Arabidopsis thaliana: one gene and its partners. The protein of the gene in region 1 interacts with the protein of each later gene in a pairwise test. Each region holds a gene or a part of one and is shown in the gene's direction. Other genes may lie near its edges.

The links.
Region 2: the proteins of LUL1 (region 1) and GDU3 interact in a two-hybrid assay, tested with the Arabidopsis thaliana proteins (one study listed by BioGRID).
Region 3: the proteins of LUL1 (region 1) and GDU1 interact in a two-hybrid assay, tested with the Arabidopsis thaliana proteins (one study listed by BioGRID).

The regions. Positions count from the first base shown.
Region 1 is NC_003076.8:759,695-763,443, reverse strand, and holds LUL1 (RING/U-box superfamily protein), read left to right. Parts: upstream 1-1,603; 5' UTR 1,604-1,776; coding exon 1,777-2,219; intron 2,220-2,336; coding exon 2,337-2,802; intron 2,803-2,889; coding exon 2,890-2,994; 3' UTR 2,995-3,125; downstream 3,126-3,749. Other genes in the region: DIP2 (E3 ubiquitin-protein ligase), read left to right, coding at 105-374; AT5G03204 (uncharacterized protein), read left to right, coding at 1,047-1,157; CPUORF47 (peptide upstream protein), read right to left, coding at 3,296-3,749. UniProt on the Arabidopsis thaliana protein: Acts as an E3 ubiquitin-protein ligase, or as part of E3 complex, which accepts ubiquitin from specific E2 ubiquitin-conjugating enzymes and then transfers it to substrates (in vitro).
Region 2 is NC_003076.8:23,365,217-23,368,637, reverse strand, and holds GDU3 (glutamine dumper 3), read left to right. Parts: upstream 1-1,574; 5' UTR 1,575-1,835; coding exon 1,836-2,282; 3' UTR 2,283-2,833; downstream 2,834-3,421. UniProt on the Arabidopsis thaliana protein: Probable subunit of an amino acid transporter involved in the regulation of the amino acid metabolism. Stimulates amino acid export by activating nonselective amino acid facilitators.
Region 3 is NC_003075.7:15,359,109-15,362,709, forward strand, and holds GDU1 (glutamine dumper 1), read left to right. Parts: upstream 1-1,903; 5' UTR 1,904-2,098; coding exon 2,099-2,575; 3' UTR 2,576-2,966; downstream 2,967-3,601. UniProt on the Arabidopsis thaliana protein: Probable subunit of an amino acid transporter involved in the regulation of the amino acid metabolism. Stimulates amino acid export by activating nonselective amino acid facilitators.

The DNA.
Region 1 (3,749 bases):
AACTAACTTAAACATTGTGGATCGTCCACTTGTCCGACTCTTACGTCAAACCCATCATTGTTCCACATATCTCCACGCGTCAATCTCTCTATAAATACGAACAAATGAACACGTATCAATTCAACTCAAAAAGTAACAATTTGAATTACTTCCGCAAATCTAAAATAATATCTAGTGAAGCGAATATGTGTTTCTTTGATAATCGGTGCGATCAGAATCTGACGGTGGTGGTGGATGTGGCGTGGTGGATGGAGGCTGTTCCTCCACAAATCATTTCTCCGGCGAAGCCATCGGTTTCTCCGATTCTTGAGACGATTTTAGAAGGCGGAGAGACCGAAGAAGACAATCAAGAACAAGAAAACGAGGACGTGTAAATTGTAATGATCATTTTGTTACTCGGTCTTGGGTTTAAGATAGACTCTTGTTGTTGTTGTTGTTTTTTCTATAACTGTATAAGATGAGATTTTGTATTGTATCTTTTGTACAATCAAATCTCAGTTCTTTGTGAAATTTTCATTCAACTTTCACATCTTGTACGCTCGGTGATCTGTTGTTATATGCTCACGAGTTGGTAATTAAAGACAAATCTTAATATACTTTCTAACCGAACCGGGACGATAACCGGTCCACGACAAAAAATCAGTATCTTCAAATATCAAACCAAACTTAAACCTGAAACCAGTCTCACCGCTATTTCTGTTTGGTGCGATCATTTTCTCAACCAAAAGAATCTAATTTACATTAATTTTTAATAAAGACATGTATGATTTATCTGCAAACTAAAGCAGTGTACGCATACTTATGTTTCAACTTTCGAGCATCACCTAAATATGAAACATAAATATCACGTGCGATAAGTATTAAGCTGCGTCCTATAAAAAAGTATACAAATATATAAAGATCACTTGATGATTAGTTAATTACACTACTACTATTCCTCTCTATCTCTATAAATATCAGCAATAACAATAATTTCCACATAGATCTTCTCAACACAGTCGAAAGCTGCCGAAGTCTAAATCGAAGAAAGAGTATATTTACAAATCATGGCTAGGATGATCGGACCATTCGAAACTGTACCGGCGATTCTTGTTTATCCGATGAGGGTTTCAGCTTCGCCTTCGCTGGGGACAATTTATGAGGAACACGATGAGTAAAATTTTAACAAGACAAGATCAAAACTCGAGTGTTTAATTATTTTTTAATCCATTTTAATGAAATATTCATTTTGAAATATATCTTGATAGTGCTTTCTATTTCTTGGTTGATTTCCACTTTAAACTCTTTTTTATCGACGTTATTATGATCTCCTATATAATCAGACATAAGAGAAGATGTTTCTTAATGACGATCAGTGCAAGATGTTTCTTAATGACGAGCAGTGCTTCTTGTAATCGCCGGTATTAATGGATGTGTTTCTTTGTTTTCCGATCAACCTCCAAAACCAATCTCGTGTCTCCGGTTTTGTCATTTCGTTTCTTCTTATTTTGTAACCGTGATATTGTTGTGAGGCCTTGGGCCTATTGCCTGCCTAGTGCTACTGATAATGATTTCTTTGTTTTATGTGATTAAAAGTAATAATCAATTTCCCATGGTAATTAATCAAGTTTAATACTAATTTATAATATATACAAATAAACGTTTTGGTGTTTCTTCGTCGACGTCGCTATCTCCAATCTCATTACTCCCCTTTCTCAATGATCATAAAACCTACTTCGATTCTACTCCTTATCAACTGAATCACCGAAAAACCTCACCTTTTTTCTTTTTCCGATCATGGGGAATCTGATCAGTTTGATCTTCTGCTGCGGGAGAAGGCAGAGGAGCAATATTCCTCCGGCGATGGAAACGGCTCCTCTTGAACTCCCACCGAACAGATTTGTATTCGCCGCCGTGCCACCATATCTGAACCCTAACCCTAACTACGTTGACCAGTATCCAGGTAACTGCCTTCCTCCGCCAGTAACTGAGCCGCCGATGCTACCGTACAATTTCAACCATTTGCATCACTATCCTCCCAACAGTTACCAACTACCTCATCCTTTGTTTCACGGCGGTAGATACCCTATACTGCCGCCTCCTACGTACGTCCACCAGAAAGCCGTCACGATTCGTAACGATGTTAATCTGAAGAAGAAGACTTTAACGCTCATACCCGACCCGGAGAATCCGAATCGACTTCTTGTCTCCTTCACATTTGATGCATCCATGCCCGGAAGGTTTTACTTTCAAACTATGAAATGATCAAATTTAGTTAAAAGTTTGAATCTTGTTTGAATCAATCAATGGAGTAATATAAATGACTTAGCTTTTGTTGTTTTGGTTGGCGAGAACAGGATCACAGTTGTTTTCTTTGCTACAGAAGATGCAGAATGTAATCTTAGAGCTACAAAGGAAGATACTTTGCCTCCAATCACTTTTGATTTCGGAGAAGGACTTGGTCAGAAGTTCATACAATCATCTGGAACGGGTATAGACTTGACGGCGTTTAAAGATTCCGAGCTATTCAAGGAGGTGGATACAGATGTCTTCCCGTTGGCGGTTAAGGCGGAGGCAACTCCAGCGGAAGAAGGAAAGTCTGGTTCCACCAATGTGCAGATTACTCAAGTGGTGTATACCAAGGAGAAAGGAGAGATTAAAATAGAAGTGGTGAAGCAGATACTATGGGTGAATAAGAGGAGGTATGAGCTGCTTGAGATTTATGGGATTGAGAACACGGTTGATGGTTCCGATGAGGGAAAGGAATGTGTTGTATGCTTGTCTGAACCACGCGATACAACTGTTCTTCCTTGCAGACACATGGTATAGTGTTCATCATACTTAAAATTAGCTCATATAAAAAAAAAATTGAACTTCTTTTGAAATGGTTTGTGTATTTCTGTTTGGCAGTGTATGTGTAGCGGGTGCGCAAAGGCGTTAAGGTTTCAGACAAATCTGTGCCCAGTTTGCAGACAACCTGTTGAGATGCTTTTGGAGATTAACAAGAACGGATGAAATGGAGATGGAGAATGAACAAATTTAGTTAAGCAATCGACTTGTGTAATATATGCCATGCTTAATTAAGACGTAAAACGTTATGGTTCAATATATTATAAGTGGAAACTGAGTTCTTAAATAGCAATGATAAACAGATAGGCAGCTTCTTATTTAGTTATAGGTGCTTGGCCAGGAGCTGTGGTGGCCGAGGACCAACTATGGCAAACACAGAAGGTGATGGCATTACAACTGAGACAAAGACAGACACGAATCGACGTAGATAAGACTAAGGCGAAGCGAGATTGAGTTTTACATTGGTTTAGTCTTCCCACCATTGATGAACAAACACACCTCTGGCTCTCAGAGTTTGAAGCATGTTGATGCAGTCTGACTTGTGGTTGGAACAGCGGAGGAAAAGCTCATCCACGTAGCATATGACTCCTGTTTCCAGTAAAACAGTTAGGAACTTCATTTCCACTTGGTTTGTGTTCATCTTAAGGACTACAAAGTCTGCGTATTTCGCAGTTTCCTCAAACCAAGCAAGGAAATCGAATCTCTCATCTTCTGGAAATGGTTCTAGCTGTTCAAGCGGAGTTATCTTTTTCCCTGTCGAGTTGTTCTCAGCCAAATCCGGATGGTAAACAAAGGTGACGCCGGGTTTCTTGACATAGGATAGCATTACTGAAGTGTTGTGGTCGACAAAGTAGACATTGAATGCTTTGCTGTCGAGTGGGTATAACGGAAAGAACCAGTTTGGAGTTAAATTAGCATCC
Region 2 (3,421 bases), about 23 Mb from region 1:
AATCAATAGTCACTTGTTAAAAGCAATTTATGGTGGTGGTGGGCTACCGTCTGTTTTTTCATTTATATTTATGTGTTCACAGTTCACGATGAAATATGATAACATATATATATATATATATATATATATATACCTATCATAATTATTTTTTATGCTGTATATATGTGAAAAAATTGTCTATATATAGTAGTTAATTAATTATGTATATGAATACAGCATGAAAAATTATTGAGAGCGAGTGTGAGTCTTGTTGTTCTTGCTTTGCCGAGTTTCAAGGTCTCATACGAATTCATTTGCTCTTTAACAATCATGCATATCTTGCATATATATCAATATGTTGGAGATACAATAAAGTTGGTTATAAATATGTATAGTGGAACTCGAAGTAAGAAGATTTAAACAAACATGTAATTTTAGTTGTTTTAGGTAACGTTCACTTTACTTGTTTGGCGTTAACGGTTATTACGTTTCCGGCTATCTCTTCACGTTTGCATCGCTCACCTAAATTTTAGCGGCTTTAACGGAACCGTTTTTGGTCAGTCTCTTGTCCTTATCTTATTCCCCTTTTAATTGCCTCTTTTAAACCCTCTTTCTTCTTCAGAGTGTTTCTTTATCTATTAGCCATCAATCATTGGTTTTTTTGTTCTAGTTAAAAAATTCATCATTTTCATGACTCTTATGTTTTCATGTCTCACTTTTCCACTGTAAATTAGAAAAATAATTATTAGCCAAGTAGATGTTGATCTTACGCTGTACTAGTAGAGAGTATAACCACTCAGCAGATATTTTCTGTAAAGTCATACTATATTTTATTCGAGTGGATTCGACACTATGTGAATGGTTGTTAATTATCTAAAACAGTGTTTAAGTGTTACAATAAATGATTACTAATATTATAATTCCTTGGAGTATGATAGAATCGAAGATATTTTTTGAAATTATCCACTGATTAAGCTTAAAAAGTAGTAAGGAATACTGATTAAGAAACAGACCACATTAATTGGGTCCCAACTAATCACCGGCACCTAAACCAACAGAAGCTCATCATTACACGGCTTGCTAACTATACATAACATTCCTCTGTAAAGCATGTAGTTTCAATTTTTGAAATATATAAACCCTTAACCTTGCTGAGATTATAAATGTTACCAATCATTTTTAAAATGCTATTGCTGTGAATGTGAACGTCGATTATTTATGTAAACTTCTAAGTAAAACACATACACACATTACTCTAGAAAGAAAAAAGTAGATATGTTAGTTATCTTTTATGTTGGTAAGCGACTCAAAACGGACAAAAAAAAATGAGTATGGTAAATCTCAACAGCCAAAAAAAAAAGTTTACCATTGAATTAAGAATTTTCTCTTAAAAATATGTTTGGAAATCATAGGAAAACTTGTTAAATGTTTATTTTTTCATTTACAAATTATATATATATTCAGTGGTTAATCCTTTTGTACACACCATCTCGATTACTTTAGCAAACGGCAAAAATAAGACATAACATAAGTTATGCACTCACGTCACGACTCCATATAATCATTCATGATAACTGAGAAACATAAAAACTGAATTCATATTGCTTTTTTCTCCAACTCACTCATTACATACAAATACATAAATAAATAAGAAAAATTTCCATAAATCAGAAGTAAAAAGAATCTCATACGCAAAATAATAAAATTAAAAATTGATACGTCACACACAATCCACAACGTTAATTCGCTTCTTCTCTTCTATAAAACCCTTCCTCACTCATCTTCCTCCTCACACCAAAACATTTTCCTAAAAAAAAAAAAAACTCAAAACTCAAAACCATCTTTGTGAAAAAAAAATGGAAGGAAGACAATATTACCCTCCGAGAGAAAACGTTGAAGGAAACAGAACCACCATGGGAGGAGGACCTCACTCACCGTGGCATTCACCGGTTCCTTATCTCTTTGGTGGTTTAGCAGCGATGCTTGGTCTCATAGCTTTTGCTCTTCTAATCCTCGCTTGCTCTTACTGGCGTCTCTCCGGTTATCTAGACGGCGAGGAAAACCAGAGCAGAGAGAGAGATCTTGAAGTCGGAGATGTGAAACCTGACAAAACGGCGGTGAAGCCTGTAGCTTTGCCGGAGAAGTTCTTGGTGATTATGGCCGGAAATGTCAAACCTACTTACTTAGCAACGCCGTCGGTAAAAACGTGTACTTGTGACGATGATGACGATGAAGATGATGACGTGGAGGGAAGTGATCAGGTGGTGCCGCGGAGTAGTGAAAGTAACGGTGAGACACATTGACAAAACCAGAGGAAGGGAAGAGAAAAACAGAGGATCGTCTTATTGTGAACAGTTCTGAAGAACTGTTTGCAGCATCTGACCCGGTTGCGTCGGGTATTCGGGTTGGATCATAACTCTACTTGATGATGAGTAATATTGGAAAAAATTGGAATTGGGATTGAATTATTAGGAGTTGTTCTGATCAATGATGTATTTAAAAAATCTTAGCTTTTGCCTTTTGCATCGTTAATTCGTTTTTTTTTTTTTTGTAAGTTTTGTGCCATATCTAGGTCATGATGAGGGATAAAATGTAAATTTCTGAGACTTTGAATGTGAAATTTGTGATTTATGGAATTGAGAATGAAAAAACAAATAACTATCTGAGACTTCAATGAAAATATCTTGATTATTTTAAAAATTCACCAAAAAAAAAAGGTGATTAAATGATGAAAAAATTGTACTGTTCCAGTACATGTTTTTTCGTGGGATTAATGTGACAATTGTGGTCCGAACAAAAAAGAAAACAGAGAAAATATCAAAAGATTCTTCAGGTGAGAAAATTGAAGTGAGGACTACAGGCACGTGTGAAGGCACATGCAGAAGAATGTCTGATTTAATTTCTCTTAGGTGTCTCTAAATTGATGCGGCGAGGTGAAGCAGTTAAAATTAGCTTCAATCAACGACCCTAATCGTGTAATTAATCTCCTATAGCATAATTCTTATCAGGAAAATATTTTATAAGTTTCGAAAATGACTTTTAACTGCACTAGGTCTCTTTTCTTTTTTCCCTTTCAATCTTATCTTGTAGGCTGTAGCCCTAGCTAGGTTTCTTTTTTTTTATATTACTTTAAAGCTATGGATTCTTTATTTATACATTCATCTAATGAAAATGGATTACCAACTATTAATAGTGAATATTCGAGTTCAGAAACTAGACTTTGATGAATAACCGTCAATCTTTTGCCTCTTCTTCTTTGTTGCATAACAAATAGTTTTGTTTTATCAAAACAGAGTATTTTTATCAATTTAACGATATATGTTGAGCTGCGTAGACTTGTAATCAAGATGTTCGATGTAAAAATGTTTTTGGATTGGTTATGGGTCGAGAAAATAAAGTTGGCTAATGGTGGGTTTTATTTGGGCCCACTGTAGTTTTTTTG
Region 3 (3,601 bases), on another chromosome or scaffold:
ACAATTTTTGAACTTAATTTGTTTAAGCCATTCAGATTTTTGAACGTTTCCATTTATATGTATGAGAGGAGTAGGGACGAATAGTACAAAACGACGAGCGGTGATTGTCCGTGCAGAAAGAAAACGTACCCTCTACTGCTAAAAGGTGCGAAGTGGAAGCTGACGAAACGTGGGACACAATCACACAACAAAACTATACAAATATTATTTTCTCATGTTAATAGTGATTAGTGGAATGATTGCCAATGGACAATGCGGCCTTCTTATCCCTTGTTGTTTTTTATTGTTTTCTTTTTCTTGTAAAAAACTTTGATACTGTTTTAGAATTAAAAAAGAGGTAAAAACTTTTTTTCTTCTAAACGATGCACGAGTTCTTTAATGATGAAGATTGTGAAACTTGCTATACTCATATGAGATGGGACCTGTATTTTTTTTATTTATATATAAAACTATTATTCTCTCACTGACAAGAAATTCCCAATTTTGATTTTGATTTATGTTTTTAAATAACAATATCTTTTTAAAAATATCTCTCTATCTTGCTTTTTTAAAAACACAATTTTTCTGATTGCCTAAAAATAATTACCATAAAAATCAAACATGTCCCGGTCTTGTGGATCCAGTCCCATGATACTCATTTTCTTGCTTTGTTTTATGATTCTATTTTGTTTTCGACCGAAGTTTATGAATTAAAACATGACAAAAATTTATTTGACAAGTAAACGTTACATATTTTTCAAAACTATTACGCCAATGTTCCAAAGCTTCCACGCCGAAATTCTTGAGCAAATAGACAAAACATCAACGATTTTTCTATAGTATCTGTTATTTGAACAAATTGAATTTTTTAAAATGCTAGATTCCTAATTTTCTCTACAAACAAAGCATCAAAGATGAAAGCATAAAAGAAATCAACGTACATTCTTAAGAAGAGGAATCAAATTGTGGCTAAACAGTGGGAAAGTATAATCAAGAATTCAAGATGTGAGATAAAAATAAAATAACAAAAAGCAAAAATTAGGTAAAGAAAAACTAAGGAAATTAAAGGATAACCCAAGTTTTTCTTTTACCGTGGATATTGGATCATTCCACGGTGAAAAAAGAGATTCTAAATTTAACTGATAAACATATATATTAAACAACTGCAATAAAAAAATAAAAAAATTACAGGACTAAAACTAAAGAACTATAGGGAATCGGACATCAAATTACACAGAACCATCTTTACGATTGATGCTTCACCGTACCACATAAACAAAATGAGATCTTATATAAACTTATGATCTTCTTATCCATAGCTCTTAATAAGAAGTGAAAAATAAAAAAATGGAATCACCGCATAGTCTTGGCTAGAGGCAAGAAAAGAAGAAAGATAGACTAATTAATGAGTATATATGTCAAGTCAAAGCACCAGAGCCAAATGAAATTTGGAAATAATAATGAAGAAAAACAAAATGAAATTGTTGGCACTTTAACCCACAATCTCACTCACTTTCAAATAATCTTTGTTCGCTATTATCATCGTGAAAACATTGTCATATTCCACTACACCCCAATCTAAACTGCTCTTTCACTATGCCCTGATTCTGATTAGCTACAAACATTTTTTTTGCGTGGTATATGGATAATACATCGATTTCAAAAAATATGCCTCTATCTGTACGGACTATGTATATCTCAACTCTCAAATCACTGTATTTTATTATTTTCAAGAATGAAAAATAAAAGTGTTAGCTGTCTAGTTCTGTTGATATATTGAATGAAATTTAACATTTTCACTTGTCCAGCTGTAACTTCTTAGTTCTTACAGTATAAATACGTTATTTTCTTTAATAAAAGAGAGATACGTTGATGAGTTCACTATGGTTAAGAAATAAAGAGTTGGTTCCACTAAATTCCATCAATTAAATATGATCGTCACTTTCTTTGTCCCCAAGTTGCATATACCTATAAATACATCTCTTTACCTTCTCCTCTGTTTCCTACTCATCTTTCCTTTTTCCACATCAAGTTAGAAAAACAAAAGTAGAAGAAATTATCTCCAAAACACACAAGTCCAGAGAGAAACAAAAAGAGATTACACACAACAACAACAAAAATGAGACCATTGAGCGTACAATCGAAGTTTGAAGATGTGGCAACGTCAACCTCCGTTAATCACCACGGAGTGACGCCGCAATCACCGTGGCACTCGCCGGTTCCTTACCTCTTCGGCGGTTTAGCGGCGATGCTAGGACTAATCGCCTTTGCTCTTCTCATCCTCGCTTGCTCTTACTGGCGCCTGTCTTCCTCCGGCGAAGAAGATGGTCAAAACGTAGATGAAGAGAAAGAGAGCCGGTCTGGAGATAAGGCGGCGAACGGAGCTTACGAGGAGAAGTTTCTTGTCATAATGGCCGGAGAAGATTTGCCGAGGTATCTGGCGACACCGGCGATGAAAAAGTGTACGTGTGGTGGTCACGAGGGTAAAATGGTGATTTCTCAGGAGGAAAGTGTTGCCAAAGAGGAAGAGAAGATGAGAGAAGGCGAAGAAGAGAAAGTGAAAGATACCGGCGAGACAACTACTACAAGTCACTAAACTTTTCTTTTTCTAAATTAACGTCTTTTTGAGAGTTTTCTGGAGAATTGTCCTCGTCATGATTCCTAGAAATGTAAATTTTACTAGAGAGCAAAATTTTGGGGTTTTTACTTGTTCTGTAGTGTTTACCGTTTGATATATTAAATCGTATTATCCTAAATTTTGTAGTTTGAGGAAATATTTAGTCACTTCACCCCAAAAAGTCTAGTATATTTGAAACTGCGGTTTCTTACGTGTACATGTGTGTACATCCATATATTTAGGATTCGATTGTTCCAACCAATTCGTTTTGATTATATAACTTTCCACATTTTTGAGTGGAAATACGTGCTAATTCAGAAATTTCATATGGTGGTTAGGTTGATTACTCACGGTCACAAAAATTGTACTTTTTTAAAAACCTTGCATGTACTTCAAACTGTTGGCTGTCAGAACAGAGAAAGTGCTTCAATCTGTTGACAGCAGAGCTGTCTGATCCATATGCCAATTTCACTTTCTTTCCTCTTTTAATTCAGCAAGATTTATTTTCCTCACTCGAAGAGTTTTATGAGGTGTAATCATTTAGTGTTTTTACAAGCAGTTTAAGAAGAAAATTATCCGAAACACACGTTGACTACATATATATTTTTTAATCTCATTCGAATATTGTCATGAAAATACATCTAAAAGTTAGATTTATGAACAAAAACATACATCGCCGACAGTTTTATAATCCTAAAAATCATTATAACATAATGTTACTATTAGGATACAAGAAAAATAGACTAGTTCCACATGATTTTTGTTTATCTATATCGACCGTTCTCCAAGACTTTTAAGCCTAAATTTTAGGTTTACTACTACAAAATCTTTCAAGACTGATTATTACTTAAGATCTTTTAAAATACTTTTCGACTTGCAAATATGTCAAAAAATAAATAAAAATGGCTGATTATCGCACACAAAAGATTATCAATAAATTACACAAAAATATATCCAGTCAACGGATCTGGAGATCTTGTATTTGTAATTAACGTTGAGAAAATA